Linked DNA regions of Cricetulus griseus. The protein of the gene in region 1 interacts with the protein of each later gene in a pairwise test. Links are inferred from orthologs where the notes say so. Each region holds a gene or a part of one and is shown on either strand. Other genes may lie near its edges. The genes, in order: Arl6ip1, Snx15, Ndrg4, Acsf2, Gad2, Snx11 and Shmt2.

The links.
Region 2: the proteins of Arl6ip1 (region 1) and Snx15 interact in binary tests that used the Homo sapiens proteins (3 or more experiments, as listed by UniProt). The two-hybrid records come from large-scale screens. The link is inferred for Cricetulus griseus from reciprocal best matches to the Homo sapiens genes ARL6IP1 and SNX15.
Region 3: the proteins of Arl6ip1 (region 1) and Ndrg4 interact in binary tests that used the Homo sapiens proteins (3 or more experiments, as listed by UniProt). The two-hybrid records come from large-scale screens. The link is inferred for Cricetulus griseus from reciprocal best matches to the Homo sapiens genes ARL6IP1 and NDRG4.
Region 4: the proteins of Arl6ip1 (region 1) and Acsf2 interact in binary tests that used the Homo sapiens proteins (3 or more experiments, as listed by UniProt). The two-hybrid records come from large-scale screens. The link is inferred for Cricetulus griseus from reciprocal best matches to the Homo sapiens genes ARL6IP1 and ACSF2.
Region 5: the proteins of Arl6ip1 (region 1) and Gad2 interact in binary tests that used the Homo sapiens proteins (3 or more experiments, as listed by UniProt). The two-hybrid records come from large-scale screens. The link is inferred for Cricetulus griseus from reciprocal best matches to the Homo sapiens genes ARL6IP1 and GAD2.
Region 6: the proteins of Arl6ip1 (region 1) and Snx11 interact in binary tests that used the Homo sapiens proteins (3 or more experiments, as listed by UniProt). The two-hybrid records come from large-scale screens. The link is inferred for Cricetulus griseus from reciprocal best matches to the Homo sapiens genes ARL6IP1 and SNX11.
Region 7: the proteins of Arl6ip1 (region 1) and Shmt2 interact in binary tests that used the Homo sapiens proteins (3 or more experiments, as listed by UniProt). The two-hybrid records come from large-scale screens. The link is inferred for Cricetulus griseus from reciprocal best matches to the Homo sapiens genes ARL6IP1 and SHMT2.

What each region holds. Positions count from the first base shown.
Region 1 is NC_048596.1:82,511,628-82,516,151, reverse strand, and holds the start of Arl6ip1 (ADP-ribosylation factor-like protein 6-interacting protein 1), read right to left. Parts: upstream 2,835-4,524; 5' UTR 2,714-2,834; coding exon 2,678-2,713; intron 412-2,677; coding exon 278-411; intron 1-277. UniProt on the Homo sapiens protein: Positively regulates SLC1A1/EAAC1-mediated glutamate transport by increasing its affinity for glutamate in a PKC activity-dependent manner.
Region 2 is NC_048596.1:53,222,933-53,226,565, reverse strand, and holds the end of Snx15 (sorting nexin-15), read right to left. Parts: intron 2,055-3,633; coding exon 1,797-2,054; intron 1,121-1,796; coding exon 1,029-1,120; 3' UTR 612-1,028; downstream 1-611. Other genes in the region: Sac3d1 (SAC3 domain-containing protein 1), read right to left, coding at 1-171. UniProt on the Homo sapiens protein: May be involved in several stages of intracellular trafficking. Overexpression of SNX15 disrupts the normal trafficking of proteins from the plasma membrane to recycling endosomes or the TGN.
Region 3 is NC_048596.1:171,882,377-171,886,676, reverse strand, and holds the start of Ndrg4 (protein NDRG4), read right to left. Parts: upstream 2,970-4,300; 5' UTR 2,958-2,969; coding exon 2,880-2,957; intron 96-2,879; coding exon 51-95; intron 1-50. UniProt on the Homo sapiens protein: Contributes to the maintenance of intracerebral BDNF levels within the normal range, which is necessary for the preservation of spatial learning and the resistance to neuronal cell death caused by ischemic stress.
Region 4 is NC_048600.1:107,506,115-107,510,631, reverse strand, and holds the start of Acsf2 (medium-chain acyl-CoA ligase ACSF2, mitochondrial), read left to right. Parts: upstream 1-1,552; 5' UTR 1,553-1,642; coding exon 1,643-1,770; intron 1,771-4,517. UniProt on the Homo sapiens protein: Acyl-CoA synthases catalyze the initial reaction in fatty acid metabolism, by forming a thioester with CoA. Has some preference toward medium-chain substrates. Plays a role in adipocyte differentiation.
Region 5 is NC_048596.1:211,481,447-211,485,209, forward strand, and holds part of Gad2 (glutamate decarboxylase 2), read right to left. Parts: intron 2,239-3,763; coding exon 2,131-2,238; intron 1,808-2,130; coding exon 1,718-1,807; intron 1-1,717. UniProt on the Homo sapiens protein: Catalyzes the production of GABA.
Region 6 is NC_048600.1:109,928,188-109,932,530, forward strand, and holds the start of Snx11 (sorting nexin-11), read right to left. Parts: upstream 2,861-4,343; 5' UTR 2,744-2,860; intron 2,006-2,743; exon of another isoform or gene 1,932-2,005; intron 228-1,931; 5' UTR 168-227; intron 1-167. UniProt on the Homo sapiens protein: Phosphoinositide-binding protein involved in protein sorting and membrane trafficking in endosomes. Regulates the levels of TRPV3 by promoting its trafficking from the cell membrane to lysosome for degradation.
Region 7 is NW_023276806.1:130,225,820-130,230,262, reverse strand, and holds the start of Shmt2 (serine hydroxymethyltransferase, mitochondrial), read right to left. Parts: upstream 2,809-4,443; 5' UTR 2,689-2,808; coding exon 2,656-2,688; intron 1,441-2,655; coding exon 1,243-1,440; intron 799-1,242; coding exon 719-798; intron 569-718; coding exon 368-568; intron 1-367. UniProt on the Homo sapiens protein: Catalyzes the cleavage of serine to glycine accompanied with the production of 5,10-methylenetetrahydrofolate, an essential intermediate for purine biosynthesis.

The DNA.
Region 1 (4,524 bases):
GGTTAATTTAAACAGCAACAGTCAAAAACTCTAGGGACCTCAATCTTTATTAGAAAAGAATATAAAGAAAAGGTTTTATAACACAAAAGTTTGTGTGTGCAGGATTTACTCATGTGTATCAGGTTACAATTTTACATAAGGACTACAAATTCTAGAAACTGGGCAAGCTGCTTGTAATTGTAAGAAAGGCATTCCTTTTGGATTATGTATTACAAAAGCTTCTCTAAGCATAGGCTATGAACCATCTGAGCACTTAGCAATAGAATCCCTCACTTACAGGAACAGCAGGGATACAACACCCATGATGGCAGGTGGAAACCAGGCTCTTTCCCATCGAAGGACTTTGTCAGCCATCAGCATCACTTCTCCCCATCCTTGCAGCTGCTCTTCCAGACCTGCAGTCTCCACAGCCTACACGTGATCAACAGTTAAGAGTGTTGTTACTTTACCAATTTCAACACTCCAGTGGCTCAGAGAGTAAAAGCCTAAGGCATCAAAACTGTTATCTTAAACAAGCTGAGTCATGAAAAACTGCAATTTTGGCACCAAACATAAAAACGTATGAGTGGGTGGGAGAAAGCCCAACCTTCAGCACTGGGCCATATGTCCATGATGTAACATAATACTCCCAAAGTTTCACAATATGGAGATAAATATTTCATTATTAATGCAAGTAAGCTTAATATGGTTAACTAATATTCCCAAATTCATCCACAGAGTCATGAGGCAGTGCTCAGAACATTACTCAATTGGATACTCTATGTTTGCTCATTTCAGGTGGTTGGCATTGATCTGTTGATTGGTTTTTTTTATTGATTTAAGCCCTTCTAAATGCATCAGGAAAACAATCAGTACATACAATATCTAAAATAGCTCTTTGTATAATAGAATTGCTCAAGTGTTGGCAGTCTCTGTAGAATTAAAGAAAACTACTTGAACTAAATTATGTGAAGCACTTAAAGTCCTCCGTAATGGCTCTTCATCATTGATGATGTAATTTTGGCTAAATTTCAAATTTCTCTGCATATGTAACAACTAGGCAAAAGCACACCTTTAGGATAAGCTATTGTGATCGAAACCCTTCAGGGACTTTGGTAAAGGAAGGAAATTAGAACAAGAAGTTGCTCTGTCTGTAAGGGGCCCTGGATTCAACCCCCAGGAACAAGATAGGCACAATGTCAAGTGACACTAAGCTTTTCACAAAGGAACATGCAAATGATATGACACAGTCCAGACTAACTCTAATAAAGATGAAATCTGTGTCATAGTACTTCTGACTCTATATTACATGCTTAATTCTGATATCACTCCAAACTAGAAATTCTAGACAGTTTACATTCTATACTTCAACTGATGCTCCTCAAAACTGGAAAAGGTATTTTTACAGCCTCTATTTAAGATGAGGAAACTGAGGCAAAAAGAGGTTAATACATTTAAATCCAGTAAATATAAGATTAATGGCCTTGCTCTCCTCAAAATGATACTGCATTGATGGAAACAGTTAAGTTCAGGATCAGGTCCTCTCCCTTTCCTTTTACATCAATTAATCCTCTTCCTGAACTGTTTGCTGGTGTGTGAGTGTTGTGTAGGGCAAGTATCTCTATTGTATTGTTTGCTGGTGTGTGTGGCGGGTGTGTGGGGGTATGTGGGTATGAATAGGGGGAATTTAAGGGGTCAGGGAAAGCATTTCAAAACACCAATGCAAAGTGAAAACCTTGCACAATCCTGTAGTGACTATTGTCCTGTAGAGACTTAACTTGCTGGCATTTAGGCTCTTAAAAGTACAAAAGCAGAAGTTAAAAGCTGGTTGGTCTTTTCATTTCTGATATGGCCTGTCTTTCCCTGGGGAATGAGAACAGAGAAAATAAAAGTATCTCTCTTTCTTGCCTAGATGATACAGTTGAATTTGTAAAGCTAGCAGGGCCTGGTGATGCACAACTGTGACAGGAGAATGACAAATGCAGGGCTAACCTCCATACATAGGTCAGGGCAAGCTTGGCTACATGAAATCCTGGTCTCAAAACAAAACAAAACAAATCAAAACAAAAAAGACCTGTAACGAAGCAAATGTTTCCTCGTCTAATACCACCTCATGCAGTTTCTTCAAATCCGTGCTAATCATTTTAAAGTTGCCTCCAGTCCCGTGAGCCCCCTTGCCAGCTCCCAGACAAGTGCTAGGTCCTCCCACTGTCCTTTCCGCTGAACCCGCTTTTCAGCTTCCTGCGGTGAACTCTCAGCCAGCTACAACAAATTCTGTGTCAGCGATAACTAGTTCTCTGTAGCAGCCCTTTGACCCTCAACCCTAGCCCAAGTTGTTTTTGTTTTGGGGGCGGGGGGAACCACGCATACAATCTACCGAACATGAGATAAAAATCAAAGAGACGGAACAGGTAGGTCTCCGGCCTGAGCCCCGGGTGCTAAACAAGGCCCTAGGCGGCCGAGTGCCTTAACCTGCCACCCAGGTTCCTTCTTGCCAAGGGTCCCTTTCTCACACTTCCTCACGCACTGTCCTTGCCTCGTCGTGCGCGATCCCCGGAGAACATTGGGGATCGGCCGTAGGGACCGACACCGTGGAGATGTGCAGGGAGCAGCAGGATCAGGCCTGACAGCCCCTGGAGTCACCGAGGCCAGGAGGCCGAACCGAAAGTGTCTGGGACAAGTCAACACCGCGACTCACCAGCAGGTTGCTGCTGCGGTTATCCCCCTCCGCCATCGTTACGGACGCGCGTAGTCTCAACGAGCAGAACACACACCCCACCAACACCCGCACGCCGACCGTAGCGCGAGGGAACGCCCCGCAGGCTGCTTATGTAGGCTGGCTGCCCTTCCCGACAGCCCTCGCGAAGCTCGCTCCTCATTGGGTAGATAGCACTCCAGCTTCTGGGAAGCCAGGCCAACCGGCAGCCAGCGCATGACTTGAAATCCAGGTCAAAGGAGAGGGAAGCTGCGCGGAGCGGAAGGGCTCCGGCCAATCAGAGTACAGGGTTGTGGCCCTCTGGAGGCGGAGCGAAAGGGAGCGGTTCAACCGCCGTCCCTAGTCTCTGGCTGGGCTGCATCTCAAGACCCCTGGGGTGCCTGTCAGCCTGGCGGAGTGAAGGCTGCTCAGTGCCATGCCAACGGAGGATAGAAGGGCGGAGGATGCTTTAGACTTCTATGGCGCCTGCTAAGATTTATGACTGAGAGGATGGCGGGCCCCTGCGTGAGAGCTGCTGCAGCCATCTGCCCAGCAATAACAGGCCCTACGACAACACGGAAGATGCACTGACTCATACTCATATAGGGCTTCTTTTGCAGCCAGTCTTTTGGGGAATCGTTTGTGGTGCGCTTCACTTAATTGAGAAAACTATGCGCACTTCAGATGGAGGGATGGATAGGTGGATGAGTAATTCAAATGATGAAGTGTTCCAGATTGATACGGATTAACGGGTGTGGGGGGAAGCCATGCTAAATATTGACCTCAAATACATTTAAATTATTTTTAAAACATTTCGCTCGTTTAAAACATTTAAAACGTTCATACCAGGTTCTTTTAAAGTACTGGGAGATTTTTATGAAACTTTTAAGACCACACAGTGCTCCTAAATAAACCTGGCCCTACCTGGAGCATGATATGATGGCTCTATAAAGGTTTGTCACAGACCTGTGGAGAGTACTTGGATAAGGTACTAACACAACATAGTTTTGGCTAGGAAGCTCGGGTAAAGTGCTTCTTCGAGGAACAATGTGTGTGTGTGTGTAGGGGGGTGATATGATTGGGTTGATAGAGAAACCTTACTGGTGGATATTTAAAGACTAGAGAATTCCCTCCTTCACCTCAGTATTGAGGACAAAAGGACCTCAGCTGCTACACAGGCTGAGCAGCGAGGTGGCCCCATCTTGCTAGTAGCCAAGGAGCACCCACTTTCATAAGAGAGGCAGGAATACTAATAGGCTTTAAAATCCATCATTTCTACCTTGGGAACTTGGCTTTTGCTTCAGAAAGCTTTGGTGTAAAGTCCAGCTGCTGTGGCTGAGGTAGATAAAAGAAGTCCAACAGCAGTTTCTCTACAGCACTTCTGTTGTGGACTGTTCCCAGACCCAGGTATAAACTCCGCTCTAATCTTCCATATGATTTCTTGAAATGTACCCGATGAAGAAGCCCTTATCACAAATCTTCCTCAGAAACTTGGCACAGCAAATGAACTCTGCCAGATACTTCCTTCAGAGCTTTCACTCCCAATCATGGTCTGCCAGTTTTGTTTTCTTAATATTGCCAAAATGAAGCATCATACATTGCCTTTTGTTTTTCAAGAGGGTTTCTCTTTGTAGCCCCAGCCATCCTGGAATTTGCTCTGTAGACCAGGCTGGCCTCAAACAACTTACCTTTCCCTACTCTAGATTAAAGGCATTCTTACCTAGGAATGTTCCTATTGAAATAAAATTTTCACTGTTCAAAAATGAGTAAAATAATCTTTTTGAGAATTTTTTTTTAGTTTGGAGAGGTAATAGAAAAGCCACAAAAACTCTGTTCCAAAACTAACTTTC
Region 2 (3,633 bases), about 29 Mb from region 1:
AGCACACTGAGCATCTCGGGGCCAGCGGACACGTGGCGTTGCATCCTCTTGTGAGCTCAGGAAACACGCGTGGGGCCCAGTTTGGCTGGCCCGCCCCCGCTCACCCGGGTTTCCCAGACACCGCAATGCCGGAAGACGTTGGCTCCCACGGGCTTCGGAAACGCCTCTCATCCTCCACCGCGCCTGGCCTCGGCTTTTCCCCTTTAAGCCGTCCCATGATGCACCGGCTTGTAGTCCAGCGATGAGGCCACACCTCCCCAGGTCTTCCGGGATTTAGTGGATTTTAGCTTTTTGTACTTGGGGCTGTCGAAATAGGTAACCCTGCCTTGCCTATCTCTCCATTATCTCTTTACACACTAAACTAGTGCGGTGGGCCTGTCATTCTTTGTCTCCCTCGAGATAGCCTCCCTAAGCGTTTTGTTTTGAGACAGGGTCTCACTATGTAGCTCTATCTGGCTGGCCTTGAACTCAATAGAGATCTTCCTGCCCCTGCTTTCTGAGTGCTGGGGTTAAAGGTGTGGTCCCCACACTCATTTGCTAGACACAGCTTATTCAACTCAGTTGGTACAATGTAAACTCAACCATAGACAGTAATAATCATGCGGACCTGGTTGTGTTCGGACTCGTTTTTATTCACACATATTTCAATTTTATAAATTTTTCACTGGTCAAAGAATCATTTTCCTTCCAACCATTAACAAAAAGAAAAAAGAAAAACCCTTGTAGCTTGAGGGTCTTACAAAAAAGGGCAGTGGGCTAGGTCTGGCCACAGACTGCAGGCTGCAGACCCTTGTTCTAGATGGGTGAATAGACATAAAACAGACAGGCAGGACCAGAAGTTCAAGTCTGATTCCAAAGAGGCAGGCAGGTTGGAGCTGAGAAGTCTTTGCTTTTCTCATACTTGGTCCAGTTAAAACAGATATGGCCCCTGGGGTTCCAAGAGCAGGAAACAAGGCCAGGTCCCAAGGAAAGACTGAGTGGAGGAGGCTGGCAGTGCTGGAGCTGATGTCCCAGGAAGGGTCCACTCCTCAAGGCAATTGCCCATGGAGGGTCTCTGCCCGCCTCAGGTACTCAGCTGCCTTCTTTTTCACACCTTCCCGTCGGGCAGGGGATGGGTCACCTGTAGAGAGCAGAAGGCCTCCAGAGTCCCTGGCCTGAATGTGCCTTTCCCTGGGTCATAATGTCTTTTCCCCATTTTATGAGGCTATTAAAAAATTAAAGAAAATTCCACCCAAGGTCTCTGGCTGACCTGTGACAAATGAAGGCTCCTGGTCCTTCTTTTTTTCTTTAAAATATTTCGTGTATGTGTGAAATTGAACATATAAAGGTCAGTGGTCAACCTCAGATGTAGGTCTCCTCTTTCCATCATGTCTGAGACCCGGTCTCTTTGTTGTTGTCTGCTGCATATGCCAGACTCACCAGCCCTGGATGGAGTTTCTGGGGATTCTCATCTTCCCACAGGAACACTTGGCTTCCTGAGTGTGCTGTTGCATGCTACTTTGTGTAGGTTTGGGGAATTCTTTTTTGTTTTGTTTTTTTTCTAGACAGGGTTTCTCTGTAGCTTTGGAGGCTGTCCTGGAACTAGTTCTTGTAGACCAGGCTGGCCTCGAACTCACAGAGATCTGCCTGCCTCTGCCTCCCAAGTGCTGGGACTAAAGGCGTGTGCCACCAACGCCCGGCTGGGTTCTGGGCATTCTAATTCAGTTCCTCATGCTTGCATGGCAAGGCACTACACACAGTCATCTCCCCAACCCCTCTGCTTTTCACTGCCCTGTCTTCCTTACTGCTATACTCACCCGAGACTCCCTGAAGCAGGATGTGCACCCCATCTCGGTAGCCTTGGAGGGCAGCAGCATAAGCCCCTGCCTTTTCATTCCGAAGGGCTTGAGTGATGAGCTCTGTGGCCTGGCTCAGGTAAGCTGGGGCAGGTTCTCCATCCTCAGACTCTTCCTTCTCCTGTCCTCCTGGCTCCCAAGGTTCCTGGTCCAGTCTTTTGGACTGTACCTCCATGGCTGCCAGCTCACCAGTGTGGGTGGGGCTGGGACCTGTACTTTCTGTAATAAAACGGGGAGGATTCAGGCCAGAGTAGCCTTCTTTCCCATGGTATGCTGTCTACCCCAGGCTTATTTTGTTTATCAGAACACCAAATTGTCCCCACTGGAGGGGAACAGAGCCTGGAAAATCCCAAATTCACTTGAGATTCACAAAATCTGTTGTGATCTGCTTGCTTCCTTTGGCTCAGGAGCTTTCTGTAAAGGGTTAGTTTATTGTTGTTGCATATATGAGTGAGTAAGGCACAAGTGTGCTGCCGTGGTACCCATGTAGAGGCCAGAGGACAAGTCTTGGGAGTTTTTTTTTTTCAACCTAGGTGAGTTTGGGGGATGGAACTCATGTTGCCAGGCTCACAAGGCGTGCTTCCACCTTCTGAGCCATCTTACTGGTCTTTGTGCCTCTGCCTCTCTAGTGCTGGGATATAGCCATGTGACACTTTACCTTTTTTGTTGTATTAAAGGCAGGGTCTCACTCTGTAGGCCTGGTTATTCTGTAATTTGCTGTGTAGACTAGGCTGATCTTGAATTCACAGATCTGCCTGCCTCTGACTCCCTGAGTGCTGGGATCAAAGGTATATGCCACCATATCCAGCTTTCCGATTAAAACAAAAAGTAGTGTGTGTGTGTGTGTGTGTGTGTGTGTGTGTGTGTGTGTGAAAGGCAACTTGCCAGAATCTGTTCTGTCCTTCTATCATGAGTCCAAGGCATTAGGCTTATTGGCTAGTACCTTTATCCACAGAGCCATCTTGAAGGCCCTTATTTTTGTTTGAAATAAAACTGGGTGGTGGTGGCACACTCCTTTGATCCCAGCACTCAACAAGCAGAGCAAGCTGGATTTCTTTCTTTTTTTTTTTTTTTTTTTTTTTTTTTTGGTTTTTCGAGACAGGGTTTCTCTGTGGCTTTGGAGGCTGTCCTGGAACTAGCTCTTGTAGACCAGGCTGGTCTCGAACTCACAGAGATCCACCTGCCTCTGCCTCCCAAGTGCTGGGATTAAAGGAGTGTGCCACCAACGCCCAGCTTGCAAGCTGGATTTCTATGAGTTTGAAGCCAGACTGGTTGACAGACAATTCAAGGACACCCAGGGCTACACAGAGAAACCCTGTAAAGCGGCACTAGAAATTGAACCCAGGCTTCCATGCACGCCAACCAAGCATTCTTATCAACTAAGCCATGTCCCTAGTGCAGTTAGCCACTCTAACACCCTAGTTGTAGTCAGTGAATTTTAGAATAAACTAAGCTTTAGTGTCTCTTTGCTAGGGATTTGCAAGTAGGAGTTAAGTACTCTGACCTGTATTGGGAACCGGCCTGACTCTGATGGCCCCCCAGGTCACCATGGGAGTTCTCATACCTATTGTTCTTCGATCCCGGACCTCACCCCCTTTGACTGGGGCAAGATTCCATTTTCTGTCTGTTTAGTTTTGTTTTTGAGATTATGTAGCCCTTACTGACCTGGACTGTTATGTAGACCATGCCAGCTTCAAATTCAGAGATCCTCCTGCCTTTGCTTCTGCCTCGGATTCTGCCACCAGGGCCACAGCAGGTTCATGAACAACAGAACACTATGATGCTGCGCTACCCTGAG
Region 3 (4,300 bases), about 89 Mb from region 1:
CACACATATATGATGGGTCCCACATTTAGAAAGGCTGAGCCTTAACCTACCTTCCAGTCTGTGTCCACAACTGAGAGGAAGGTGTCAGGGTTATCCTAAGGAAGGCAAACAAAGGGGGACAAGTTAGCCAGATCCCAGGGCTCTGCCAAAGCAGACTGGTCTTCCGACTCCCAGTCATGTTCATGCTAATGGTAGTGGCTCATGAGCTTATCCTGGGTGTCAGGGTATGAACAGCACAAGGGTTTCTATCTTGTTAGGGTATCATGGAGACTGAGGGCTGCTCCACAGGCAGAACGCACTGGGATCTCTGCTTGAATGCTGGCTTTGGATCACTGCACACAAGGGCAGAGGATGACAGAGGAGCAAAGAGCCACCATGGTTGTCACCCACAGGGCAGGGGAGGTAGCTGAGGCCTGTTCAGTAGTGCTGCCCACTTGACTCTCTCAGACTTCTTGGGTCTATGTGAAACTGGAAGTGGCATCTTCCACTCTCTGGACTCCAGATGCCATGATGGAGAGACCCTATCTGGCCATGTAAAGCCTGGACTAGAGTAGGCTCCCAAACACAGGCTAATCTGGACAAATAATCTGATGTCATAAATGAGGGGCGCATGGCTCAGAAGACACTCAAAATTGGGCATAGTAGCACATGCCAGTAGTCCAGTGCTCAGGAGGTTGGGAGTCCAAGGCCAGACTCAGCTATGCAGTGAGACCTACTGACTCTTCCAAGGCCTAGGGGAACTACAGGGGTCAAGGGAGAGAAGGTGGTCACTTCTGGATCCCTTAGGAAGGGGGCTTTTGGCAGAAAGGGGTAGGGCTGGTCACTGAAGGAGCATTTCACCAAAGCACCTTCAGTGAGAGGGCTGCAAAGCAAATGTGGGAAGGAGGGAGGAGACAGTTCTGTTAAAAAACAAAAATCTGATGGCAAGGATGATGCAGATAATGGTAGGGTGTGCTATGTGCTCTCGGGACGTTGGGGCTCAGGGGGTGGGTCTGTGGGAGGGAGGGAGGGATGGGGTGGGGCCCACAAACCAAGGGAGAGCAGAAAAATGAGCCAACACGAATCCCTGGGAACCACAGGAGGTGGCCGAGGGAGGTCACAGCAAAGGGCAGAAGAGGATCTGGATGAATGGAAGGAAGCCTGAGAGGTGGAGAGAAGGGGCAGCAGTGTCCCACAGAACCCAGGACTCCCCAGACCCTACAGTCCTCAGGGAAAGCAAGTCTAACATGGCTTACAGAGGTGGGAAGGAATATAGTTGTCCCCTGCCTCTGCACTGCTTCCAGAACCTTCTGTAGGTACCAAAATCCACTTCTCTATGATGGCATTTTAGCTGCCCAGATTCTGCTCTCACACAATTCAAATCAGCTCCAGATGGCCTATAACACACCTTCTAGAAGATAAGCATGTGTCATGGAAATAGTTGCTATACTCTGCTGTTAAAGGAATAAGGACAAGAAAAAAGTGTGTACTATGGCTACTTCTACCTGGCTAACTGAAGCCCTGGATGTGGACACCATGGATATGGAGGGCCTGCTGTATTTTGTATCCTCTCTGGATACAAAAGTGTGTACCTGGCAAACTACAGCCATTCAGAAAGTAAAGAGGTCAGGCAGGCACTGTGCTCGGGATGCTAAGGGAACTTGCCAGCATCACAGCTGAGAAAGGGCAGCTCCTGAAGGCAAAGGTGCAGCTAGTTGATACCTCAAGGACTTTGCTGGGAGTCACGAGGAGACTACAAGTGGGCATTTTTCCTAATAACCCTTTGGAAAAACCAGAGGTGATGGGGTACCCAGCAAGAGCCTCTTGCTGACTCAAGGATCCCAAACACCAGCGTGGCAAACAATGGCCCTGGTGGCCACTGGCTTGAAAATGAGAGAATGGTTACAATAGGAGGAGGAGGTAGGCTTCCAGGAGCAGGAGGAAAGGACAGCAAGATGCTGCAGGAGGCTGGAGAGACCTCTGGAGAGACAGAACCATGCTGCAGGTTAGGGTCTGATGACAGCGCATGCTGGGAGTGACGGCAGAGTGTGGAGGAGTGCCAGTAACAGCCTAGTGGTCAGCAAAGGCTTCCTGGGAACACTTGAGCAGAAGCCAGAATAAAATAGGGAGGCTGCCCTGGGAGTGCTTGGGCTAATGTCTTCTTCCAGCAGAGGAAGCATCTGGAAATATGGCAGATACACTCAAGGTTCAAGGAGGCTGGGAAGGAGGGGAGCAGGGGAAAGAGGAGACAATACCCCGACCTCAGGCATGACCACAGCTGCAGTGAGATGGCAGCCACTGGGAAGTTTAAGTAAAGGACTATCGTGTGCATTTTTAAAGGGTGGTATTGCACAAGGAGAGAAATGGGAACACGGGGAGGAGGCTCCTGCAGGCTACTTAGCAGGAGGATCTGCTGTGGTCCAGGAGCAGTGGGGCCTGGGATGAAGAGTTTGCCAAATTTGCAGCTCAATGACGGTCCCACAAACTACCCTCAACTAATCCAGGAGTGGGTGCTTCGCTTGGGATTATGTGTTGAATGACCAATCACACCTTGTTCAGGGGCAGGGCTGTGGCCTCATGTGGTTGGATTCCCTGGTGCCCTGGCTAAGCCACCTATCGCAGTCCCTGCTGCTCCTTCTGGCAGGAGGCTGGGAAGGCGGAAATAAAACGCAGAGCTGAATGTGGAAAGCAAGGTGGGCGGGGTGCATACCCAGCCATGCTGGATGGCCACTCAGGCTGATCCTGCAACTTTCTCAAGAAATGAACCATCAGTTCTGGGTGGCTCTGAGTTCATAGGGAGGTTCTCCCCATCACCACAGGCAAGATTGCGGGAAAATACGCAATTTCCCTCTTCACCACAAGGTGGCACACGGCCCCAGGACCTGGAAGGGGCGACTCACCAGCTCGGTCACATCCTGGCCCCGGAGGAGGGGCTTCTCCTCAGGGAATCGCAGCTCCTGCAGCCCGGCCATGGTCATGTCATGGAGCAGAAGCCCTAGGAGGAAGGGAATATGCGGTTGGTGCTTGTTCTGAAGTTGCCCTGTGAGGATATCACCGGCCAGGGCTACTGGCCCCAGGTGACCACAACTGATCTCTCTCCAAGACCTGCTTATGCCAAGGAATATTACATTGTAATTGCTCTTTTCAAATAAAATCACATTTAGCATAATAAAGCAACAAGAGGATCCCTGTAAGTGGCCAGAAGTACCCAGCAGAGGTTTTAGAAAACTGAAGCCGCGAGGATGGGAAGTGACAGCTCTCTTTCCTGAGACTCAAACAGGGTCAGGACAGAAAAATGTATGTGATCTCTGCCTATGGCTACCAGAAGGTCCGTGCCTTGATTTCTGGGTGATTCAGGCAGAGGCAGAAACTTTTTTTTTTTTTTTAAAGATTTGTTTATTATGTTTTGTTTTGTTTTGTTTTTTTTTTTTGGTTTTTTTCAAGACAGGGTTTCTCTGTGGCTTTGGAGGCTGTCCTGGAACTAGCTCTTGTAGACCAGGCTAGTCTCGAACTCACAGAGATCCACCTGACTCTGCCTTCCAAGTTCTGGGATTAAAGGCGTGCACCACCAACGCCCGGTTGATTTGTTTATTATGTATACAGTGTTCTGCCTGCATGTACACCTACACACCAGAAGAGGGCACAGGATCTCATTATAGATGGTTGTGAGCCACCATGTGGTTTCTGGGAACTGAACTCAGGACCTCTGGAAGAGCAACCAGTGCTCTTAACCTTTAAGCCATCTCTCCAGCCCCAACGCAGAAACTTTTGAGCCTTGGAGGAAGAAAGGGTCACACACATACAGTGTGTACACATTTGCTGTGTGTGCTTGTGTAGGGGTGCAGCAACAAACATTGGACAGACAACCCAGGATGAGGTGTTTGCAGGAGAGGCAGTACCATCTCTCATTTGGGTATAATGGCAGAGGCCAGAATATACCTAGGAGAGAAATGAGGCAAGGATTTGCACTAGACTTCCATTAACACACAGAGAAATATTCAAAGAAATTCAGATTAAAATAAGATACTCAGCCAGCATGGTGGCACATGACTTTAATCCTAGCACTTGGGAGGCAGAGGCAGGTGGATTTCTGTGAGTTTGAGGCAGCCTGGTTTGCACAGCAAGTTGCAGGCCAACCAGGACTTTATACTAAGACCCTGTCTCAAACAAATAACTAATATGATACTCATTTTTTTCATTGTGACCACGAAACAGGCAAGGCATGCAGTTTTAGCTAAGAGGCACAGAAAGCAGAACTTTCTAGATTCTGGTGGTGCTGGGGATGGAATCCAGAGCCCCACACATTAAGGAGCATGCTACC
Region 4 (4,517 bases), on another chromosome or scaffold:
AGAAGAGGTCAGTGATTGGTTCCAGGTCATCCACCAGGCCTTCCAGGAAGGGCTTGGATCCAAAACTTGGAATATTAGCACGCCTCATTCCTTGGGCCTGGCCTCTGGAAGCAAGTGTATAATTTGGAGGGCATGCCCTCTCAAGCCCAACTCTTCAAAGTCTCTGTCTTGACTGGTTCTCCATAGGAACACAGATTCTTCCCCAAATTTGCCAGGGAGATCTGAGGTCACTCTGGAGATCAAAGAGAAGGAGCAGCTGGATTACTCATGACAGTTGAACCAGGATTCCCAGATAAAGGCAAAGGTTCACTAGGCCAACCTCTGCTCTCAGCCAACCCCTCCTCCTGGCCTGATTTTCTTCATTTCCAAGTCAGGAGAGGGGAAGCCACCCTGCCAGGACTTTTCTTTTCTTCCTTTGAAGTAATGATCGTTCAGGACAACATGGTACTGACTAGAAGGTGTAGGGGTTGTGTGCCAGTCTTTGGTTAACCCAGTGCCCAAACCCAGAAATGAACAGTCATTTCTTCTAGGTCTTCTCTCCCATCCTTCTTGGGTTACTTGTTAGAATATATCCCAGAGGGCTGGAGAGATGGCTCAGAGGTTAAGAGCATTGAATGCTCTTCCAGAGGACCTGAGTTCAATTCCCAGCAGCCACATGGTCGCTCACAACCATCTGTAATGAGATCTGGTGCCCTCTTCTGGTGTGCAGATATACATGGAAGCAAAATGTTGAATACATAATAAATAAGTAAAATCTTAAAAAAAAAAAAAAAAAGATTATATCCCAGAAGCACAGGGTTTTGAGTCTCTCACAAAGTCCTTTGGAGCCTAGGGGAGCAGCTGAGGAATATGTTTCAAGCCTCAGCTAGGGCAGAAAAGAGGATAGGATAGGAAACAAGAGACTTCAGTCCCTGATGCCACCAGATCTTGTCTACTGGGCACTCTACTCGGAGTGACTCGGTATAGAGAAGGAAGGATGCCACGAGAGATGCGGGGTCGAATTATAGCTGATTCCTGGCGTTGGGCCGCATTAGTACCCCCCCACCCCACCCCAGTCCCAGAGTACAGAGGGGCTCACCCATCAGACCGGTTGGGGCCGGACAGCCTCTCTTCCCAGAGGCTTTCTGTTCCAGCCCGCAGGCCTCACGGGAGCTCCGGGCTGGGTTCCTTTGGCCTGTAGCTCACCACCACCCGGGAAGTTCCCACGTGACCCACGATCTACTGGGCACTGGAACCAACTAGCCCTGAACTTGCTGTCTGGCCCATTATAGACTTCAGATTGTTTTCCCGTTTATGAAACTCCTCGGCCCTCCAATCTTAGCCGGGGGATGGCCCTGTATTGTGCTGCAGAGAGAGTCTTGGGATCCCCCGAAAACAAAAACAAAGAAAAATAGGGGCGATTCTTCGAGGGCGAGCTTAGAGGGTTGTAGTTCCCACGCGAAGGTGGCCCAGGACTCGAGAGTCGCCACTTCCCGGCCTCTCCTCGCCCCGCCTCGCCCCGCCCCGCCCCGCGGGGACCAGTCCTTCTCACCCCATAGGCAGAGCGACCCTCCCGCCTCCCAGTCCGCTTCTTCTTCTTTAGCCCCCGCCTTGTTCACTTTCAAAGTTTACTCCCGGCCGTGATCTGCGGCGGAAACGAGCCATGGCTGTCTACCTCGGGATGCTGCGCCTTGGGAGGTTGTGTATCGCGAGCCTGGGGGCGCAGGGGCCCCGGACGCTACTCTCTCGGCCTTGGCAGAACTCGAAGTTGCACTGTGCCCGCGCACTCAGGTACCCCGAGCAGCTCCCCGAAAAGAGAGGGGGCTGGGCAGTCCCGAGGAGGAGGGAACTCGGGAGTTCTGCAGAGCTTGGCAGGGACTGACCCCACTCTGGGTGGCCCTCACTCAGACTACCCTTACCACCTAGGCAAAGGGAAGAGCGGGCCTGGCTGGGGTTTGGGGCTGCTGCAGGCAGCTGCAGTAGTCTTAGACTGAGTTCAAATTCTAGATCAGGATTCTGTATGCGTCCCGGGTGGCACACAGAGACAGAAGGTAGGCTTTTAACAGTACACCCGGGGAACAGGGCTGAGTGCTGCTGGGACACTCTCTCAGCTGTACCCACTTCAGTGAAAAACTTGGGACGGGTTGGGAGTCCTCAGGCACTGAGTATTTAACAGTCCCTTTCTCTTTCTTTCTTTCTTTCTTTCTTTCTTTCTTTCTTTCTTTCTTTCTTTCTTTCTTTCTTTCTTTTTCTAGACAGGGTTTCTCTGTGTAGCCTTGGCTATCCTGGAACTCACTCTGTAGACCAGGCTGGCATCGAACTCACAGAGGTCTGCCTGCCTCTGTCTCCCAAATGCTGGGAATAAAGCCGTGCACCATCACTGCCTCCTGGCTTCTTTCCTATGTTTTAAAATCATTGCCACTTACTTCTGGGCCTGTTTTCATCAGCCCTCGTGGGAAGGGGGTTGGCAGGAGAGGATTGGTTGAATAAAGCTAAAGTGGCCAGGCACTGAAGGGACTGCAGGAGACAGCCTTGAGAAAAGCCAAGGTTGGTAGAGCTGCCCCTGCCCGTGCAACAAGGTTGGTGGTATCTTCAGCATCCAGTAGGGGGAAGGCCTGCACATAGTTGAATATGCTCTGCCACACAGTCTGCTGAGCTACTAAGCCTTGTTTGTTTGTACCACTCTGGCTGTGGTCTTGGACAGGACAAGTGGAGACACAGCTATGTCTCTGCAAACTAGGTAGCGCGTATCTATAAGGCAGAGGCAGGAGGATCTCTGAGTTCTAGGCTAGCCTGGTCTAACAGAGCGAGTTCCACGACAGCCAGGGCTACACAAAGAAACCTTGACTCTACTTCCTGAGAAGTTGGACAGATAAGTTGGAAGATGCCTTTTTGTCCAGAACTCTCAGTCAGATTATGGCCTTCTGAAAACTAGGAAGCAAGCAGTGTGTGTGTGTGTGTGTGTGTGTGTGTGTGTGTGTGTGTGTGTGTTATGCTGAATAGGCACTCTACCACTGAGCTACATGCTTAGCCCTTATAAAGAACTTTAACACCCTCTGCCTCATTTCCTGAGTGGACCTAGGGGATCATGGCTGGGTAGTGAAATGGGGCTCACTGGGGGAATGGGGGGGCACTTTTTAAGGGAGGCTCTCACACCTCCCTAGGCTAACTTGACCCTGCCCTATCCCTAGTTGGCCTGTCTCACCTTTGAACTCTTGAGTATCCCTACAAGCTGTGAGGACTCTGAAGAGAAAAGTTACTCCCCAAAATACATACAGTTGTTGATACTAAATCAGACCCAGTGTTACACAACAGTGCTTTGATTTGTGTGTGTGGTTCATGTGGATATATGTGTGTGTGCGTGTGTGCATACCTATGTATCCCTGCACCTGTGTTTTAAGTGCAGGTGAAGGCAGCTACCCAATGTTGGGTGTTCTCCTTGAGCTATCTCTACCTTACTGTTTTGAACTAGGGTCTTTGACTGAGCCTGGAGCTCACTGATTTGGCTAGGCTGGGTTGCCAATGACTTCGAGGGCTCTTTCCCTCTCTGTCCCCCTCTCCCAGGCACTGAGAGGTTACAGATGGCTGAGTCACTGTACACAGCTTTAGTGTGAGTGCTGGGGATCCTAACTCAGTTCCCTATGCCTGCACAGCAGTCACTTTACTGACTGAACCCAGCCCCAACATTCCTGATCTTTGACCTTTGCTTGTGTAAACATAGCAGGTTACTTACTTGCCTCAGGCCTGTGACCTCTGAGGGTTTCAGTGTCAGGCCTCAGAGAAACTGTCTAGAAAAGACCTATTTATCCAGAGAAAAAAAGATTCCCTGGTCATCTGGCCCACCTTCTTCCCCTTCCTCTCTTGTTTGCATCCTTCCTTGCTGTCCGTGGGCGCTTTTGTCTGGATTGTCCCTGCTCTCCTCTGCAGAAGCCTCCCTTCGGGCGTCTCAAATACACAGCACACATCTCTGAGGGCATGCCCTCACTGTGCCGAGCACCTAGGCCATGGAACTAAGACCCGGACTTGTGTGAGGACGAAAGGTATCAGGGGAGGAATAGCTTGATGGTGTTCCCTGCATAATGGTGTGGGAAACTGTTGTCCTCTGCTCTCTCTGCTGTTTTGGAGGCAGGGTCTTCGTGTGTAACCCAGGTTGACCTGCAACTTGAAGCCATCAATCTTCCTGTCTCAGCCTCGGAGCTGTGAAATTACAGGCATGTATCGTCATGCCCAGCTCTGGTTTCTGGTTTTGCTGAACGGGAAAGAACAAGAATTTGAAGCAAGCTTGTCTTGAGATACAAACCTGGCTCCTCTACATAAAGCTGATGACCCAGGAACATATTACCTTATTTCTGAGTGTGGTTAGTTTGTTGCTAATGAATTCTTACCTGCTGGCTGGTTGTGGGCAGAGAGGCAGAAGCTTTGAGATTGCTTTCAGCCTTTCCTTCCAGCTGGTAGATAGCTAAGAGTTAGACTTGATACGGATCTTTGCAATCCCAGCAAAGGGCAAGAGTATTGAACCAGCCCCCATCCCTCACTCG
Region 5 (3,763 bases), about 130 Mb from region 1:
GGTGGTGCATGGAGCAGCCTGTCTGGGCAGCTGGAAATGCATTTACTAGATCCTCATTTTGACATCCTCACGAAGGATGAATGCTTGAATTAGTAATAGCCACTTCTGTTATCCAGATATTTGTCCCCTACCAGTGAACCCTTGGGAAAGGCCCATGAGCCACCATTAAGTTTGGTAAATGTTCTCTTCCCTCATGCATGAAAGTATGTGAAAAGTGCTCACTGTAGACTGAAAACTGTGTGCCCTTAAATTTCTATGTTGTCATCCTACTCCCCATTGAGGATGGGGCTCTTGGGAGGCTCTGCCTTATTAGTTTGTGCCTTTGTATGAGTCCCCAGAAAGATGTTTTTCTTTCTTTCTGCCAGAGGATGGTACAGTGCAGACTGTCAATGATGCAGAAGTGGGGCCTCAGCAGACACAGATTCTGCTGACTTCTTGATCTCAGGGTTCCCAGTCACCAGAACTGTGGACAATCAATTCTTGTTGTCCATAAGCCACCTAACCTACACAAGTTCATTATATTGCAAACCCCTACATCTCAGTACTTTATCTCAGCAATTGACTTTCGTGTGGGTTCTTGGCTTTGTCTTGTCCAGAATTTAACTTTGCTCCTTCTCCAACATGCAGGTGCACACATGGGAATATGCACTCACATGTCCATTTGCAGACACACGTGAACATGTACAACACACACTGACAAACTAAAAACCACATCTGAATTTCATTCTGCTGAGGAATGTGGTGCTGGATTGCTAAAGGGCAGATGTTAATATCCAAAAATTTTCCTGAGGATTTTTCATCTACAGGAATCCATTCTTCCCTTTACATAGAGGGAATGGATTGTTCTAGAAGGTTAGTAAGGTATGGTGAGATTCTTAGCAGTGGGGAGTACATGCCTGCCTAACCTGGCTCTGCCTCCATCCTCCTCTAGTCACTGAAAAAAAATGCCTAGGGCATCTAACTTTCTGAAGTTCAAGCATATAAATCACCCTAGTTTCCCATTTCTACAGCACCTTGATGCCTTGATGGCATATACCAAAAACACACTTCACCCATGTGTAGATATTGGGAGCAGGTAGAGATTAAAGGTAAAAAAAAAAAAAAAAAAGTATTTCCTGACCAAAGGAGACCTCAAAGCAACTTAGGCTCTGGAGTCAGACTTACTGTGTAATTTGGGGAAAATTACATTTTCTCTCTGTCAATCAGTACTTGGCCACATCAACTCACACATTCTGTTATGAGACTTTAAGTGACCTAAAACATGATAAATGTTGAGCCTGGGGCACAATGCACACTGTAAGTGGTAGCTGTTAATATTATTGCTACTTCCCCTGGGTAGCCTTGACCTTGGTATCTAAAGAGTGCCTACAGCAGCCTTTTTTCCCCCTTCTATTTCTGATACATGAAATGTCTTTTGTCCTTGTAACTGTGAGTATCTGTTTCCTTTCAAAAACCAGAAACCTTTGAGGACAGTTCTTGGTGCTTTCTAAATGTCGGTGGAGATTATCAACCAATCAGTAATTTTAAGACATCATAAACTCTTTCTCTCTAGAACCAAGCAAATGGAATTGTGAAAAGTCAGGAAATACAGACTTTGCACATCTTGGCTCTGTGGGAGCCACAGAGGGTATCGGTCTAGGCATCAGCCTGGTATTCCCCAGTAAGAGTTTCTTATTACAAAGAAGGTCCATAGAAAAAAGGAACTGTCAGCATCTACCTTTGAGAGGCGGCTCATTCTCTCTTCATTGTCTTCCAGAACACGCAAACTGGGAGGCACGAACCAGAAGCACACATTTGTGTGCTGAGGCTACAAGGAAGAAAGTAGGATTCAGACCTGGTTCAAAATTCCAAGGATGATTTGGATGTACTTATTCTTCAGGTTCAGAAGATAATTGCTGTATTTAAATGAGTAATTGCCTTTGGGGTGTCTCACTTTCACATTCTATAGATTTGCTTGTGAGTCTGATCTTTATTCTAGCTCAAAAGAGCCATCACACCATCAATTGCTTGCCTTAGTAATGGTTCCTAGCTAGACAGCACATTACTGACATCAGAAAACACCAGGGGTGAAGAGTGGAACTGAAGATACGGGGATTCAACAATGGTGATTGTTGGAATGTGAGTACATACCTTCCCATCAAACACCATTTCATAGCCTTCTCGGTTTTTGATGATATTGTACAAATACTCTGCCAGCTCCAAACACTTATCAATATGTGCTTCAAAGCCAATAGTCCCCTACGAAAGAGAAGAAGGAAAAGCATTAGGAAGGCCTGGTGTGTGGGTAGCTATCAGCTGGAAATAAGGAATGACATGAGTCCCCTGGAGACTGCCCAGGGTCACCCTGCCCTTTCGAGCTCTGCCAGGCTGAGATGAGACTACTCCTGGAGGCTTCTCTGCTGAAGGCTCCTGTTTAACGCCCCACCCCCCAGGTGCATTTGTTCCTTTTCATTACTAGGGCCCACAGCTGACTCCTTTTGTTCCCAGGGCTTAATTCCCCAGGCAATTATTTTGATTACTCAAGGGGAAAATTTGCCTCCGCAGCTCATAGATGCAATCATGGAAGTCATTAATAACAGAAGGGCTGGGCTAGTCTTTTCCTGTAGACAAGACCCCCCAAATGCCTGCCTGGCCCCCACTCTTGTTGTAAATTATCCATCCCCAAACTCCCTAAATGGCTCAGTAAGAACAAACAGGCACTCACTGAATGTCAGTTGATCAAACAAATGAGTCTTGGGAAGCCTGTCATTCTGCCTAGCTTTTTGGTGTTGTCCTTTGTGATGAAGTATGACTCATATGTCAGCTGGGTGAATATGCCATTGAAGTCTTCTGCTTCACAGTTCTGGAAGCCTTGGGTCTGGACTTATGAAACACAGTACAACAGCCTTGGGCTGGAGCTATTTAACCAATGTCTAGGCACACTAAGCAACTAATTTCTAAAATGCCTTTCCTCCTTTAGTACCTGTATTTGACAAGTGCAAAGGGAAATCTCAGCAAAGCATTTAATGCTGTTGGTACTGGTACAGGCATACCACCTAACCCAGCATGGGAACCAGAGGAAGCAACTCTAACTATAATGGAGATAAGATGGGTATGTTTTCCCTTTTATTCAGGGCCTTATCATCCCCCAAAGGGAAGAAACAACACAGCCCATGTAAAGCATGTTTCAGGTCCTAATTCCTGGGGGTAGTGGAAGAAATATCAGATGTGGATCAAACAGCAAGAGTAGGACAACCCCTGACAGGAAGGTGAAGAAGCCAGCTTTTCCCAGCTTTAAAATGAAAGACCTCAGAGAGAGGTGAAAAAGGGAAGGTCACCGGCTACATTACTTAAGAGCTTTTTTTTTTTCTATTTGTTATGCAAAGCTTCAAATGTCTGGATATCCAAATGGAAAATTTTCCATTTGGCTTCCAACTTCAAGCTTCAAATTTTTTCAAGATGAAATGATAAGAGTTATCAAAATAATAAGTGCAGTCCCTCAACCTAGACCAGAAGTGAGGATAATTATCCCATCTGAAGCTCCCTAGCCATGCCTGTCACGGCGTCAACCTTTCCCTGCAAGAACAACCGTAGCAAATGTGGCTGTGATGATTACATGGTTGTGAGACAAGATCCTACTCTGAAGACAGGCTGATCCCCAGCTCACAGCAATCCTTCTGCTTACTGAGCAGAGGGAGTGATCTTTCTTTCATGTAAATTGAGAGTCCAGTCAAAATTAAACTAAGTGAATCACAAAGCAAAGCCAAGAAATCCCTCAGAAGAT
Region 6 (4,343 bases), on another chromosome or scaffold:
GTTGCTGGATTCCAACGGGGCCCATGATGTCACCTTCTGTTAAAATACAGCACTAATCTTGTTACTCCTAGACCCACTCCAACAGCATCCACCCTGGCTGCCGCCGCCACCTCCTTCCTCTCTCTTAAGAGCAAAACAATAAGGTTTAATTTCCCTTTCCAATTTACCTTGAAATGAAAACTGACTTCAGCCAATATGTACTGCCAACAAATGATCCGGGCTGGCTCCTGGGAAAACAAGACTGTCTAAGCTCTCCCTCCCCTCCTCCCGTGCCCATTCACACACCCACTCATTTTTACAGTCCCACAATTAATTTTAAACACATTCTCTTATTAGTTCTGCCTTACCATTACAAGAGTGCATAATGAGCTTCCGTCTATTTTATGTTTTGCTAACACAGGGCTAATGTTTCAAAAGAGGGGGAACTCATTTACAGCATGAAATTAGCAGAGCAAACAGCTTTTGCAATTCTTTCCAATATCCCAGAAGGTCTCACTTCTACAGACAGACTTTGCATTCGGGGACAAAGCTACATGGCAGATGACAAAAGTGAGCTACATTGTGGAGCAAGCCCAAGGTTTTGTGATTTCTACACCCTAATAAACAGCATTCTTGCTGACAATCTGATTTTTCATCAGCTGCAGTCACCACCTCCAACAGGCCCTGAACTGAAATTCAGGAAACTCCAATTCCCCAATAACCTAGACTAACAGTCCAAACGGAATCAGACAAAGGCCTGTGACCAAAAATAGAAGACAGACGATGTGAATAATTAACCTCCTGGGGTTCCCCACCCCTTTTTCTTTATAGGCATTTGCTAATCTGCTAGCATAGGAACCGAGAGTTAAACATTCCCAAGTGTCTTTTTGTAGTACAGTAGGAAAGATGACAAGAAAAGAGTTGACACTTCTCTGCCTGGAAAGCTCTGTGAAATTCAAGACTCTAGCTCAATAACTAAACAGTCATCATAGCTTCGGTCTAAAGAAGAGTTTGAAAGGGGCCAGCAGCACCCCCAAGTGGAAGTTTTTTCCTTTATTGTGAAGCTAATATCACATAGAAACAATCATAAACTGTCTTTTAAAAATTCAAAGCCTCTAAGACTCCATGTGTTTATATGCTTAAACCTAAGTTTAAAGGGCACCGAGGAAGTTCTGGTTTATGATTCCTTAAAATACTGAAACTAGTATACTGAAAAATACTGAAAAAAAACCTAGACTCCGTTTCTTCTTTCTTTCTTTTTTATTTTTATTTATTTATTGACTTTTCAAGGCAGGGTATAGCGTGATTGAAATCGAGCTGTAGTCCGTGGGGTTAAGATACCTTTATTCAGATAAACACCAGGCAAACGCAAGCCAGAGTGTGCCCAGAGGCAGCAAGCTAGGGAGGCCAGAGAGAGAGAGACTCCCACGTCTCTGCGGCCCCTTTTTTTTTTTTTTTTTTTTTTAAGTGGGAAGTTTTATTAGAAAGTGAAGAGAAAAGAGGTAAAGAGACACAGATACAGAGAAGAGAAGAGGGAGACAGGAAAAGTCCTGTCTGCCCTAGGGGAGCAGCAGGAAGGAGCTCTGCGGCCCCTTTAAGAACTCCCCACGAGTCATCCAGAGGCGTAGTCAAGCACACCTGTACCTAGCTCCTAGGAGGCGGGACTACAGTGTCTCCCCTACAGCAGGGTTTCTCTGTTTAACAGCCCTGGCTGTCCTAGAACTCACTCTGTAGTAGACCAGGCTGGCTCCTAACTCCACCTCCACTGTCCAGTAAGTAAAATTTAGGCTCCATTTCTAACAACCACTATTCTCCATCCATTTCCTTCCCACTCCTTGGAAGAAAATGAAACTCAGTCCATTCCTGGAGAAGCATCAAGTTCTTAACTTTAGCTATACGACCCAGAGATAGGAAGGATAAAATCAAGTGACCTCCACGGGTTAGAAACTTACTCAGTGCTAACTACATTTCCAGGGCCTTTCCCATCACATCCGTAGTGCTGTTTGCTTCCCTCAGCAGTATCAGCACCAAAAGTCCTGAAGAAGAACCAGATCTTTTGCTGTATACAAAGCTGATGCACTGTAAAGCTCACAACTGCTAATTCAGGGGAGCAATTCAAGGCCTACCCCTCATTTTTTCTACCACTTAAACTATTTCAAGAGACACGTTAAAAACAAATCAGACTATAAAACGATTGCGCCGAGGAGCCTGCCGCCTTACTCATTCTTGAGCCTTTGGTGTCAACAACTTTTGCAACTCAAAAACCTCGCCTTCCTAAATGCCCACAGATGTTAGAGGAAGCTCTCGCGCCGGACAGACACACCAAGCAGTCCAGCAAGCAGCTGTCCCACCTTTCAGGAGATAAACCTTTTCATTTCACCTGGAAATAACAAAGGCGACCATAATTTCCAGTATCTGCGAAAAATATCTGCCATTTTCTCCCACTCCCGGCCAGTTGGATAGATACCCCCGAACCCTGACTCTGGTCATTCCCTTTCATTCTTATCAAACTAGATGGAAAATAGAAACAGGCGCCTTCTCCTTTTCCGGTTAAACTTGGGACGAAAGACATCTTCTATTCTCAAGGTAAACTGAAAAGCCAGGCTTCCTTTTTTGCTGGGTCCCCAGCAAGCCCTCACTTTCACACCGGGCGGCAGCATGTCAAACGAGGCCAACACTCAAATGCCACCACTGCTCCTCGAGCCGGGGTCCCCCCTCCACCCCAGCAGCACCTACGAGCCCGGCTCCGCCCACGCCCCCTCACCTGAGAGCAGCAGCAGCTCTCTACAGCGACACCCTCAGCACCGCACCAGACAGCCCGAATTCCGGCTTCTCCTTCCGGGTGAGTCGCCGGCGCCCCGGTGCACGACGGGAGGCGTTTCCCGACGGACCAATCCTGAGTGTCCAGGACGCCCCACCCCTGCAGGCCAGGGCTCTCAGTGGCGATCGCGGGTCAGCGGTCGCTCTCCGCCCCGCCCAGACTTGAGCAGCAATCCGGATCTTTCCGGAAATTGCTGGGGCGCTGGAGGTGGAGCGCGAGAGGACAGAAACCCCTCAACGTCCACTCCAGTGTCGAGTCCCGCCCACCTCTGTCAGGCGCGCCAATCAGCGCGCAGGGAGCGTCATTAAAGGTCTGCGAGAGCATCTTGGGATCCGAGGTATCCGTAGGGGTGTTACAGTTGTCAGAGGTGTGGGGAGGTTCCACGCGTTCCTGGAGCTTCACTAAGATCTCCAGAGAGTCCCTGTTTGAACCTTGGAGGTTGCAGTTCCTCAGCTGAACTGTCAAGGGCACTGCCGGTTAGATTTGGAAAAGACGCAGATTATCCCGGCAAAAACCAAGCGAGAAGGCTGACAACTCACAGTGACTCCCCGAGACAAGCCCAAAGCAGGATCGCGCAGGTAACAAGCAAGGAAAAGCTGGTGAAAATGCTAACTCTGGTGACATCAAGATTCCTCTTAAGGCAATAGAAGGGCTCACGCAAGGAATCCTAACACTAGGAAGATTAAAGCTACATTAGTGAGTTCCAAACCACCCAGGCTACAGAGTAAGGGTCAATCTCAAAACACAATAAAATAAATAAATAAACCAAAACCTTCGTCATCTGTTAAAAAGATAATTTTACACCTGTAATCCCAGAACTTGCAAGTAGAGGCAGGAATTGAAGGCCATTGCCAACTACATAATGAGTTTCAGCCTAGCCAGGGCTACCTAAGACCCTGTCTCAAAAACAACCAAACGGGAGCTGAAGAAATGGCTCAGAGTTTAAGAGTGTTTGTTCCCTCTTACAGAAGATGAATTCAGCACCCACATCCGGCAGCTATCAACTGTAATTCCAACTCCAGTGGATCCGAGGCATACATATACACACACACCAAAAATAAATGTTTCTTTTTATTTTGTGTATGAGTGTTTCACCTGTAAGTATGGAGGCCTACCTGGAACCCTCAGAGGTCAGATGAGGGTATCAGATTTCCTGGCGCTGGAGTTACAAATGGTTGGAGCCACTGTGGGGATCTGGGAACTGAACCATGGTCCTATGCAAGAGCAGAAATTGCTCTTAACCTCTGAGTCATTTCTCCAGTTCCAAATCTTTTTGTTTGTTTGTTTGTTTCTCTTTCATGCTCAATTGTTTTAGTATGTGAAGAAAATCTAGCCCAGCACAAGCATATCAATGGAAAAGGCCTTTTTTAGCCTTCTCTAAAAATAATGAATAGTCTTTTGCTATAACAAAACATCAAATAGTACTCTCCTTCCCATATCTGTCTCTCCTTTGATTTTAAGATAAATCTCTTTATCTAGCCTGGGAACTAACTATATAGACTAAGATTACCTCAAATGCACAATGTGCAATCCTCCTGCCTCA
Region 7 (4,443 bases), on another chromosome or scaffold:
AGTGAGGAGGCCTGGGAAATCTATGGGGCCTCTGGTAGTGGATCAGTATTTATCCCTAGCACACGAATGGACTTTGGGAGCCCACTCCCAAAGAGAGATGCTGTCTCAGCCTAGACACACGGGAAAGGGTCTACCCTGCTCCAAATGATATAACAGACTTTGAAGATTCCCCCCCATGGAAGGCCTCACCCTCCTTGGAGAGCAGAAAGGGAATGTTATGGGGGTTGGGGGGTTGGGGAGGGAACTGGGACTGACATGTAAAACAATCTTGTTTCTAGTTTAAATAAAAAGGTTTTACTTAAAAAAAAAAATAACACTTGGCCCATGTCATTACTGCCCATCAAACCCATCATTTATTCATACTCACTGGCCCCCATCAGGTAGGTCCAACCCCATGATTCGATCATGGGGCTGAAGAAGAGCTGTGTAAGCAGCCAGATTGGCTGGAGACCCAGAGTATGGCTGCACATTGACTCCCCATTGTGCAGGGTCCAGGTCAAAGGCTTCCAAGGCCCGGCGCTGGCAGAGCAACTCGATTTCATCCACAACTTCTGCTCCTCCATAATATCTACCATGGAGAGGGTACATAAGGGCACAGAGAAAAAGCCAAGGGCTGGGAAAGCCACTGCTCCATAAGAATCAATGGGGTTTAAGCGGGTTCCACCACTAGGAGCGCCATCCCTGATGCTGCCCTCCAGCCCTTTGATCTAGCCCTCACCTCTTGCCAGGGTAACCTTCCGAGTACTTGTTGTTCAGACAGGACCCCAGGGCCTCCAGCGCAGCTCGGCTGCAGAAGTTCTGGAGTGGTGGGGGTTAATGTCAGAAGACAATGAGCCCCTTGCCCTGGACTCCCACAGTCCCATCCCTGCCAGAGCCCACAGGCTGGATGGGGTGGAGACAGGATGCATAAAAAGCTCTGTACACTCTGGGTTCTTTGCCAGGCATGAGGCAGGACCAGAAGCAGCATTCTCAAAAACTCAACAGCCATGATGGGTGGCCCCAGGAAAGCCACCTGTCCACTCAACCCATGTTTCCTCTTTCTTCTGACAAGAGGAGGTAAGGAAGAGATGAAACTGTAGGGGCTCCAGAAGCTCCCTAACGCCCCAGCCCCATACACTGGATTGGCCCTGCTTAATGTTTCAGGGGATAGTACAAAGAGGGAGAAGGCCCAGGAGAAATGTCAGTAAGATGATGTGTTATTTCCTGGTATTTTACTTCTTGGCCCATATCCTCATTCCCTACCTCTGAGGCGATGAGCTCCAGGCCACGACACTGCCTGTCCTTCTCTCTCTGCAGTAGCTCCCACATCTCAGGGTCACTATCTGCCAAAGTCTCCTGGCCTGTCCAGCCTCCAGCTGCTTCCCCAGCCTGTGTCCGGGCCACCTTACTGTGCTGAGCCCGAGCAGCCATCCAGACCAGCTGACCACATCTCTGCAGAGGCTTAGAGCAGAAGAGCCAGGATTTGATTAAAAATTGTCCAGACCTCTCCCAATCACCCTTCACTATGGGTACAGACAGCCCTCTGGCTAAGCAGGCAGCCTGGTCCAGCTAGCCAATTCAGTTCTCACCACCCCCACCTTCACCTTGAAAAGCAAGTTCTAGAGTCAAGGTTCAGATCAGTATCCAAAGGGCAGTTTTGATCAGCTCTACTCAACCCCCCATCCAGATCTCCAGCTCACCATGTGAGTTACCCTGCAAGGTCACACAACAAAGCTTGTGCCCCCCCAAACCCATGTCCCCCAAATTCACTAGAGAGACTAGATTCCAGGGTCTACCCAGAAGGGCCTTCCTGAGCCTGGAGAGATGGTTCAGTGGTTAAGGACACTTGTTGCTCTTGTACAGGACAAAGGACAGAGGTTCAGCTCCCAGCACCCATATGGCAGCTCACAACCATCTGTAACTCTTCCAGGGGAAAATGATGCCCTCTTCTGAACTCTGTGGGTACCTGGACACGCATGAGATGCACATACATACAGGCAGGCAAAATGTTCATGAACATAAAGGGGGGGGACCTCGAGCAGGGCCTCCATAAGAGACTACTTCAGAGAGAAGACAGTAAATTAACAGGGCTTAATGCCACAGGCTGTAGGGTAGTTTCCAAAGCAACCAAAGTAGAATAGACTTTTAAGCAGTTCTTGGGAAGAGTTGTGTACTGGCGGGAGTGGGGGTAGAGGGAAGGTGTTTGTCCAGAGAGAAGCCAAAATCTTAAATTTTATCTCTCTCTCACACACACACACACTGAGCACCTCCCTACTTCCTTCCGCCCACGCTGCAGCGGGACCCCTGCCTGATGAAAGCACGGAGGCCCGGTTGCATCATCTCCACAGCTCAGAGCTGGCGGGAAAAATTAAAACTAGCACATCGGAGCCGGGAACCCCACTTGTTCGCTGGGACATTGCTAACACAGGGTCTGCGGAACTTTACCTGAAGCATGGGAAAGGGGCGATCATCGATCGCCAGGACTAGGAACCAGGACTGGGCCCAGGCACCGCACGTGCACCCAGGAGGCTCAGGGATTTCCTGCTTAAGCATCCGCTCCCCGAGGCCCCGGAACACGTGCGGTGAAGGAGCCAGGGGAACCCCACTTTGTGAAAAGGAACTAAAGTGGGGTGGGCCTTTCCATTGGCCATCCAACATCCATACCGCTGTCCTTACCCGAGTGGTCCAAAGCAAAGAGAAGGGTACCATCGCTACCAGAGGTCACAGCAGGACCAGTCACCAACTCTGGTCCGGAGTAGTAACAGAGGGGTCGGAAGCCGACTGGTCTCAGGGCGCAGGCGCGAGAAAAATACCCCCACGAAGCCGGAGCTAAAGGGGAGGGGCCGGCGCAGGCGCATTGCCGTCTCTAGAAAATGGCCTTCTGGGAAATGTAGTTTTTCTTCATCCTTACGCCTCATCTGTACCGTCAGGTTGCCTGAAAAGGTCTTGAACCTCAGGGTTGTTATTTTTTGTTTGTTTGTTCTTCTAGACAGGGTTTCTCTGTGTTCTTCTAGACAGGGTTTCTCTGTGTAGCTTTGCAGCCTATCCTGGCACTCGCTCTGGAGACCAGGCTGGCTCGAACTCACAGAGATCCACCTGCCTCTGCCTCCTGAGTGCTGGGATTAAAGGCGTGCGCCACCAACGCCCGGCCCTTGTTCGGGTTTTTTGTTTGTTTGTTTGGTTTGAGCCTACCAAGTAGCCAGCACTATAAGGGAGGTACACACACACACACACACACACACACACACACACACACACACACACACACACACGGTAAAGAACTTTGACACAGTGGAAGCCAATACACTTTGAAAGGTAAAAGACCCAAATCCCTGCTTTAGGATTACAGCAAAATAGCCTCGCTGGTCCTCGGTTTCACCGTGGTAAAATAGTCGTGATGGCCCATGCTTGTCATTCCAGCACAAAGGGGAAGTGGAGGCAGGATGATTAGGAGTTCAAGGCTAGCCTCAACTAGCTACACATGAAGCTGGAGGCCAGTGAACCACATGTGAGCCTGTCAACCCCGCCCCCCCAAACATAATAAAAGAGTTTATGGTGAGGATTAAATGCAATTTTTCAGAACAAGCTCCCCTGTGGATTGTCCTCCTAACTCACAACCCTTCACAGCCATGGTCCACCATCAGCTGAGAGCAGCGTGAGCCATTCCTCCTCTTGTCATACTCTTCAGGGGAAGAGTCTACGTGAGTTGGGGACATCTTAGTTACTTAGTTCCGGCTGGAGAGATGGCTCAGTGGTTAAGAGCACTGCTTGCTGTTCCAAAGGTCCTGAGTTCAATTCCCAGCAACCACATGGTGGTTCACAACTATCTGTAATGAGATTTGGTGCCAAACACTGTACACACAATAAATAAATCTTAAAAAAAAAAAAAAACCTCTAGTTCAATGGCTCTTAAAGACAGTAATCAAAGATGCACAGCCAAACAGTTCTTGGGGACTCACTGCCCTACACTGCCATTTTATAGACACTGAGCCATGCGAGGCATGCCTCAGCCCCGGAGAGACAGGGCTCACCGATTGATGGGAAGAGGTAAACAGTGACAACTTCCAACACCTCACTTTGTTCTCACATGTACAGAGTGTGGGAGGACAGAGCCTTGGAGGAGGAATGTTTGTGAGTGACAGAAAGAGGACCATGAAAGGAAGGACTCACAATCACCACTGTGAGCTTGGTTTTGTTTTGTTTTCCTCTTAGTGAGACAGACAGAATCTAGAGTCTCACATACTAACATATGCTATTTTATTGTGGAGTTGCAGGCGAGGAGTCTGAGGCCCAAGCCTGCTGGTTCCCGGCCATCGACACCCTAGGCGTTCGTTCCCACCTGGGTCTCACAGGAGGGCTCAGTATCTTTCAGAGCTGACTGCTGTCTCTCCATAGCTTCAATTCTCTCAGGTGATTCCCGCCGCAGGCCCTGAATAGGTAAAACCACTCCCATCTTCCTTCTCC